Linked DNA regions of Drosophila melanogaster. The gene in region 2 interacts genetically with the main gene of each other region. Each region holds a gene or a part of one and is shown on either strand. Other genes may lie near its edges. The genes, in order: SiaT and Csas.

Region 1 (5,305 bases), on a different chromosome or scaffold from region 2:
TTAATGGAAAGCCATATACAGCTAGCAGACAAAACAAAAAGTCTCCATAAAATTGATTACTCTAACCATAGTAATTCCCGAATGAAAGTTTGCATAGTGAAAAATCGAATCCAACAATGAAAAGCCCCCTCCCGAATAACAGTAATTTAGTGGAAACTGATAAAACGTAAAACCTAAAACCTAAAACCCCACTTGAGACAGCTAAAACTTTAAAAACTAAACTGAAATCTTCTGTACTTGTTATTAAAATACAAAACGTAAGGATAAAGAAACATAGAAGAATCAACAAATTATAAATATAAAACGATGAAAAGCCCAAAAATAGAACACAAAAACGAAATTTCATAGTCCTTAAGCTAAAGTCTAAAACCAAAGAAAATTAAATTCCCCCAGCCAAACTATCTAACGTAATGAAATTCATTTCCAAAGCGGACGGAGAAGGAATAGTAATACTTTCTAATAATAATGGCAACTGGCATAATTATGGTAATTGTAAAATAATTAAACAATGACGTAAACGTAATACAAAACGGAAAAATCGAAAATAATAAAAATAAATTGTTGTTATTGAATGTATTTGTATAGAAAAATTATTATGATTATGACGATGAATAATAAATGATTACAAAAATAATAATTATTGTTCAAACCGAAAAAGCAAACAAAAAAACAAAACAAATATATATATATACGAGAAACCGTCTTTGACTTCCTACTGGGATGAACTGAAGGAACTAAACAGCCACGTGCCAAAACCCGTGGGCTTTGCTCGGGAAGAATCGGAATAATGGTCGGGAAAACCCCCTATAAACAAAACAATTAGCAGTCCTCGAGAGAAAGGGGAGGAATGGAAAGGGGAAAAATTGCATGACTCCGGACCAAAGCCAAGGATAATTGCATACGTGGGGTTAAAGCAGTGTTTCCTTCACATTTTAATTTGGACAATTCTATTTAGATAAAGGGTTGCCAAAATCGTTAATGAAGAAGATGGAAACAAAGATGCATGTTTCAGATTTCCCCAGCCAACAAAGCTGAAAGGCTTTGCAACTTGACTCACGATCCCTATTTAGTATACAAAGTCGGAACGCCTTGTTTACCTAATCCGCCTGGCCGGGTTATCCGTTATTTATGGAAAGTATAACCATGCATATCAGGTGAAAATCTTGATTTCCCCAAGCAGCTAACCGGCAAAGTGGCAGCAATCAAGTCGGTGAACCAGCGAGCGGCGGCAAATAATGGCATGTTCTGGAATCTCGCACGCACTTGCGTTTAAAGTGCTTGTGGGCTTGTGCGGGACTTGCGAGGGGGCTGTATTATATAACCTGTGTAACTTTCACTTTCGAGCCGCTCAACGCAGGTGCTTAGCGGCAGTAACGGCGGCACCATCATCGGCAGCCGCAACAGCAAACACTCTAATTAGGCGCGACCAGCGAGGAGGACGAGGCGATGGGCAAAGGACGAAGGCAGTCGGAATGCCGCTGCCGAAGCTGGCTCCTTCGCAGACGAGTCCTTCGGCTCCATTGGCCGGGGCACTGTGCCGCCGTCTGCCGAGTTTTCAGATACGTTTCGGCTGGCGAAAGGGAAAGTTCGAACTGCGGACGCGTCGCCGGAAAATCCTTCGCTTTTCCGGCTGCTTTTCCGAGTTTTGCGGGCTGCATGTGAACGCACTGTCGGTACGTGTTTATCCGCCTTTGAAATGTATTTTTGTGGCGCTAAATATTTGCCTAGTGCTAACTAGTTGTGCGTCGACGGTCAACTAGCTTTTCTGTTTGCTCGCGGCAGTGGCGTATATATTTGCATACTTTTTGGCGCCAGCTGAAAAAGTCCAAAATAGAAAAGTGAAATTGTGAATCCGTCCAAAAGCATTTATACGGCATGAAAACTTTATGCCAACTGACAGCTACATGAATTGCTACTCAGGCTTAAGTGCGAGCTAAAGGTCAATGCTAATTGACACTGACGCGGCAAATAAGTTGGGAATTTCTCGATAATTGGGAATAAAATTCAATCCTACTCTCGGAACATTTTGATCGCTTGGTAATTGTCGTTAAAGAAAAAGAGGGAAAATTGTGCAAAAACTTGGGTGCCGCTGCCAATAGTAGTATCTGATTAGATTAATATTTAAGTCAATGGTTGCTAGAGCGCATTTTATGGTTTTATTTTGATAAATTTAAAGTTGGTTTTTTTTTCAAATATTTTAATTGATTTAAAGTTCATTGAAGCCTAATTAAAAATAAGCCCATATTTACTTTAAAAAGTTAAGTTAAAAGTTAAAAGTTATTAGCAGATCCTTTAGTCACAATTTGGTTGAATATAAGATGAATACAAGATGCCATTGATAGAATCCGAATAGGCTTGCATTGTTTCAACTTTACATCCTTTTACGAATTGAGTCCTTTGGCTTCTGGCGCTGATTGCCGTGAGGCGAGCATCTTCAGCTCACTTAAATATTAATTGAGCCCTCGTTCGACCAGCGTATTATGAGTGGAGAATGAGGCAAGTGACACGCGCATCGTCGGGTCAAAGTCAGGCCCTCCTTTCATGCCTCATTATCGCCGTGTGCGCCGCATTAATAATTCAATCTGGGCATATCCAGGGTGTGAAAGCTCAGCCGGGACGCGAACCCGGCGAGGTGAATTCGCGGCAGCCCGGCAACGGTGCGTATGAAAACAGTACTGGCACGGAGAGGCGATTGCGCAAAGTAATTTGGAAATGCATTCCCACAGGAAATGGGACCACTGGCCACCGCGTGCCGCGCAGTGTGTTCCACGTGCGCTGGAACCCCAACGAGAAGTTCATCGTGGAGAGTCGCGAGAATCCGGCCATCAACTCGTCCAAGCTGGCTCCGCATCCCCGACTCAAGGTCTCGAAGAACACCAAGCTCACGCTGAGCCCCAAGCTGTATCTCTGCCACGACAAGCACTCGGAGCTGTGCCACAACAAGACCCAGCAGTTTCGCCAGCGCATTGTCCGGGCCTTCGAGAAGGCCATGGTGGAGTCGGTAAACGAGTCGCAGGCGAACCACTACAACGTGGACTACAAGCCCGTCTTTGGGGACAGCTTCGAGGAGCAGTACTACCCCTCGACCTGCCTGGTCATGGAGGCGGGCGTGCGGGTCCTGCGCCGCAAGGACGCGCCCTTCAACAAACTGCCCTTCGGCCGGCTCTTTCCGCGTCAAAAGCTCTTCCGCAACGTCAAAGACATCAAGACCTGCGCCATCGTCTCCAGTGCGGGATCCTTGGCTGGCTCCAAGTTAGGCCGCTTCATTGGTGAGTAAATCTGAAAGCAGTATGCATAAGAACATGATTCTATTTTTTCTGTTTGAGCACTAATTTTTGTACTCATAAAGTAAAATTTTACTTGTTAAACTGGCATTGTTAAGTTTCGCTGTTTGCAACTGCAGTGCACCCACCTGCATGCACAATCAGTCGGAAGAGGCCGCTCGTGATCGGTTTGATTTAGCCGTCTACTCTAATTCCGTTTACTATACATTTTGGCCCACTACGCTCCGCCCTGCTCCCAGACACGCACGACATTGTGATGAGATTCAATCATGCGCCCACGCAAGGACACGAGGTGGATGTTGGCAGCAAAACCACGATCCGTGTGGTGAATTCGCAAGTAGGCTGAAGCGCATTTCCGCACTTTCGATTGCAGCTGCAATCAACTTTTCCCCTCCCCAGGTGGTCACCAAGCCGGAATTCGACTTCACCCGAGCCCCCATCTTCCGGAACGTCACGATCGCCGCCTGGGATCCGGGCAAGTACAATGGCACACTGGAGGATTGGCTCACTAGCGCTGACTACGACCTCTTTTCCAACTACGAGCTGTACAGGCGGCGCTATCCGAAGTCACGTGCCTTCCTCATCGATCCCCACTCCGTGTGGCGCCTGTGGCAGAGTCTGCAGATGTTTGCCGGAAACCGGCCGATAAGCAAGAATCCCCCCAGTTCCGGTTTTATAGGTAAGCTATAAAGTTCAGATGCTTGGAATTGTGTGCCTTGCGCCTGCAGAAAAAATTGGGTTCTCGAATGTGAATTGCTGAGTGATTTCTATTATGTGCCTTCCCAGGACTGGCCCTGCTCCTGCCGCACTGTCCCCAGGTGGACTTCGTGGAGTACGTGCCGTCCACACGACTCAATGGACGCTGTCACTACTACAGCAAAGAGGTGTGCTCGAAAATTAATTTACTCAGCCGACTCTCCTGATCCCCTGACTTCCTTCATTCCCAGATGAATTCCGCCTGCACATTCGGCTCCTGGCATCCGCTGGCCGCCGAGAAGCTGATGGCCCTGGACATGAACATGGCGGAGGACGACGACATGTCGGTCTTCCAGTTCGGCATCCTGCGGATTCGCCGGCCGGACAAACTGCTCTGCGGCTTCAACTTCTTTGGCTACTGAAGAGGAGCGCGATTCCCAGTTGCCAGTTCGCAGTTTGCAGGCGGAAGTGGCAGTGACAAACCAGGTGCATTTAATCAAGTGGTTTTCATCGAGTGCAATAAACAATTCAACTTTGCAATGAATACAAGCTGAAGTACACTTGGTCGAGTGGAGCGTGGGAGGAGGAAGAGGAGGAGGAGTCAGGGTCCCAAGTGGATTCCCTGCCTTTTGATTGCTTCTCTCGGCTGGCTGGAACAAAGCCGACCAGAACAGAGCAGAACACAAATTATGACTGTCCTCATGGAGCCGTGTTTTTCTTTGCCATTAAATGCCATAACTGTTTGTCTACACGGGCGACCTGAGTGCAATAAGTATAAGTATTATGATTGTTATTCCGGCCCCAAGGATCTCGGCGTGGGCGTGTAGTGGACGGGGTGCGGCGAGCTGGGAGGGGAGGGAAAGCACTCATTAATACGTGATGCGGCAGGCCGAACGTGCGGCGACTCCAAAGTGACAAGACGTCAAGACAACAGCGGAAAGTCGGTGTTATGATGACAATTTTTGGTCGTTTTCTGCTGGCGTGGCCGGAGTTAAACGCTGCGTATGCGCGATTAAATAATATATAGAATGAATAAATATTGAGATTTCGTTGAACCAGGAACATGGCCCAGAACGAAAGTTATGGCCGAAGGGCACTGGGCAGTATCTAGAAAACGAGTCCAAACGAAACCCGAAGTGTGAAATGGGAGTTTCTTGAACCCACCGGGCCACCTGCTCCTCCATTATTCCGAATTCAGGCAACTTGCTCTTTTGCATTTCAACAGCCAGCCTCAAAGTTCATCTAACTCGAGTCGAAAATAACAAGCCATCAGAAGTGCAGTCCGAATTTTTGATTTAAGCTTCCATTTCGGACGTTTATTTGAC
Region 2 (3,431 bases):
TGGGATTAGGTGGTCAGATCAGCCAGCACATGATGCACCCAGTTCTCGGAACCTCCACTTGTGCGCTGCAGCAGCAGCCGAATATTCCGATTTCTGGAGGATTTTATCCCTGTTGCTCGTGCCAATCCTTGTGCAACCAGTGTTCCCAGTGCAGGACGCACCCCCATCCTTGTTGCCACTGCCTGGGACCCTTCAACAACCAACAGGTGTTCCAATCACAGCAGCAGCAGCAACAAGCCCAAAGTGTCTGCTGCCCCTTGAAACCAAGCCAGCGACGCAGCAGCTTCTACCCATCCAAGGAAAAGTCACTAAAGTCCAGCGAAAGATCCCACAATCAGGATGGTATAAAGCCCATATTTAACAAGAAGGCCCAGGTTCAGGAGAAACCCCAGGATGTCAAGGATGCCAAGGCCACCCAAGACGATCAAGCCGGCAGCAAGAAGTCGCCATTACCCCGATCCATGGGTGGTGCATCATTTGCGAGGACCAATCCATCCAGCCCAACCTCCCTGTGTGTCGCTCGGTTTGGCAGGACTTGCTTGGTCCTGAGACCCACCAGCAACGCCCTCATTCCACGCCTCCTGACCAAGCGAATCAGTCGCTACACTTCCGTGATAGCCTGGCCAACAAAAAGTGTGAAGCCTAAACTACAAAATCAAACCAACATTCAAGATCAATGAACTTTACACTTTCTTTGATGAATAGCATATCTATTTCTATAACTCGGTTTTTGTTTCACTACTTAAGATGTATTTGGCTAGAGTCAGATCGTGGCTAGAGTCAATTTCCAGACTATCCTTGGCATCGATTTCCACAACGGAGCACCTATTGTTTTGCAGTAGCCCACTGTCCACCAGTTTCCTCCTCGAGAAGTAAAACATTCCTGTCTCTACAATATCACCCTGCCAATCTTGGCGTCTTGGCCTGGCACTCAAATCGAATTCCGCTGGCATCAATTCACCATCGACCACCTTCCATCGCAGATAATGTGATCTGAAATAGATCATAGATTTTTAAACATCTACATTTTTCTTAGAGCATAGTGTACCTCTTAGCGGCAAAAACACAGTCATGGGACTCAAACTTTCGAACAGCCTCTTGAATATACTTGGTTTTCAGGAATACAGATGTGCATTGGAATAGAGCAAAGTCATGAATACTTCTATGAACATCTAGGAACTCCGAAATGGCATGAAGTGAAGGAGTGTCGTCTCTGGCGAATTTCTCAGGCCGATGATGTATTATGGCACCATCTAAAGTGCTCAAGAGTTTAAAAGATATATTCACTATAATAATATTTAATGCTCACACTTTTGTGCCTCAATGGCAATTCGTTTGTCATCTGTGGAAACCCAAATATGTCGAAAGCAAGTCGAATTTTTGATGGTCATAATTGTGCGGGCCAAAAGCGATGAGCCACCAATTTCAGCCAGGTTTTTCAGCTTGATGCCTTTGCTGCCTCCCCTGGCCAAAATTAATGCATGAATATCGTTGCTCAGACTGAAATAAAATCCAATAAATAAAAGTACTCATAAATCTGCACTACACTAACCAATTTTCCGTGCACCCGGTTTCGAAAAGAAAAACTAGTAAAATAAGAAAAGTGGCCGGTTTCAGTTTTATCATTGCGCTGTGCTTCTGGTTGAGGTCGAAATTTAAATAAAAAGAAAAATCGTGGCGCCCATATAAGATATATGTATTAGGGTGAGCCAGTAAGTATAACATAAGTACACAAAATATTGAAAAAACAGAATATATTTAAAGTATTTTTCATGATCGTGATCCTTTTCTATTTTGAGTTCTTTTGTGATTTAATAATATAATTTAATTTAGTTTGCGATTAGTTCACTCTAAAATGTACTTGTACTAATTCAAACGCACACAATAGCCTAATTTACCCTATTGTGTGTTATTAGAGGGGTTGCACTTGTGATTTATGCAAATAGACACTTTATGGGGACTTTGGACTACTCTGATTTTCCTTACTCGTTCATGGAGGGCAGTACTCACCAGTCAGTCCACCAAAGTGGGTTTTAACGTTTCGTTCATCTTGTTTTAAATTATAATAAAAAATGGATTTCTCATGCGCTTGACTATGAAGTTAAAGTTTTTAAATGCCCATGGGGATTTCTTTAAGCACTAGTTTTTGAATACCTCATACCTGCCGTCATATTTGAATAGGAAAAACATCAATGTTTATTTAGTTTTATTTATTGCACAGTTTTTATTTTAAGCTTTACAATATAAATAGGTTTGTTTTATTTACTCACTTTGCTAAAAATGAAGTAAATAACCTTAAAAATACCATGTATTGAGAGGTAAGTTGTGTTAATATATATGAATAAGTACATATGGCAATATATTAACAGAAATTACGCATGTAAGAAAAAATATACAATATTCGTTTTCTTGAAAGGTCTCCACTCCATAAGGCAGATTCAGGATACAGAGTTTTGAGATGCGCAGATATGCAAACGCTTACTGACTGACTATACACATATGTACGTATGGATCTTTTGACAATGGGTGGTTACCCTTTATATAACTACGAGTGCTCATCCGTTCGTCCGACGGTTCTATTGGTACATTTAGGTGCGCTTACTAAAGGACACTGGCATACCTTTGGTTGATATATGCCTTGGTGTGGTAATTATAAGTTCTTATCGAGGCCGCCAGTGTTTGAATTAGTTGTTTGTCCCTCTTTGCCGGTGCATACGAATCAATGTCACTGCCACTGAGGTGGATAACAAATATTAACAACTACTATATTTACACAAACCGGATTAGCTACTCCACCTGATATTCCGTGTGCGCAGGACACGTTCCGCCCACGTCTGTGGTCTTGGTATTTCCCGGGCCACTCCAGTTTGTTTTTTGTCGATATAGTCAATTACATCATCGTAATAGTTGGTTCTGTAGTTGTACATGTATTTGTATTGCAGAAACTTCGGCCTGAAAAGTGCAGATTGCATAAGATACAGTACGGTACAGTGCTGTACAGTACAGTGGAGGACCAACCTGACCCAGTGGCGGTAGAGCTGCACCGGTTTCCTGTAACCATCGTCTTCTGGCGGAGGCGGCGGTGCTTTGATTTCTTCTACCTCTTCCGGAGCAGCCTCCTCGTTGGCCGGAGTGCCAGCCACGACGCTATCAGCCTTGTGATCGGATGCCACACTCGGTGCTTTTGAGGGTGGGGCCGGAGTGCCCGCCTGGGTGGATGCCGCCTTCTCCTCCTCGCCGCCGTCGTCGAAACCCCATGGATCTTCTTCGTCTGCCATATTACTGAAACGGAATCCTTTCAATATTATTATATATCTATCATAGACAGATTCACTTTCAATATTCGATCTCTAGGTAACGTAAGCCATCATCATATTATTATATCACAATAAGATACTTTAACAAATTCACTGTCTTCTTATTTTTTATAA

The links.
Region 1: of Csas (region 2) and SiaT, changing one enhances a phenotype caused by changing the other (phenotypic enhancement), as found in Drosophila melanogaster (one study listed by BioGRID).

The regions. Positions count from the first base shown.
Region 1 is NT_033778.4:24,690,639-24,695,943, reverse strand, and holds SiaT (sialyltransferase), read left to right. Parts: upstream 1-1,557; 5' UTR 1,558-2,037; intron 2,038-2,287; 5' UTR 2,288-2,491; coding exon 2,492-3,269; intron 3,270-3,523; coding exon 3,524-3,621; intron 3,622-3,683; coding exon 3,684-3,963; intron 3,964-4,070; coding exon 4,071-4,168; intron 4,169-4,231; coding exon 4,232-4,402; 3' UTR 4,403-4,522; downstream 4,523-5,305.
Region 2 is NT_037436.4:19,987,353-19,990,783, forward strand, and holds Csas (CMP-sialic acid synthase), read right to left. Parts: upstream 1,640-3,431; 5' UTR 1,627-1,639; coding exon 1,553-1,626; intron 1,501-1,552; coding exon 1,310-1,500; intron 1,254-1,309; coding exon 1,049-1,253; intron 994-1,048; coding exon 717-993; 3' UTR 681-716; downstream 1-680. Other genes in the region: schuy (schumacher-levy), read left to right, coding at 1-680; fln (flightin), read right to left, coding at 2,602-2,734, 2,797-2,952, 3,019-3,278.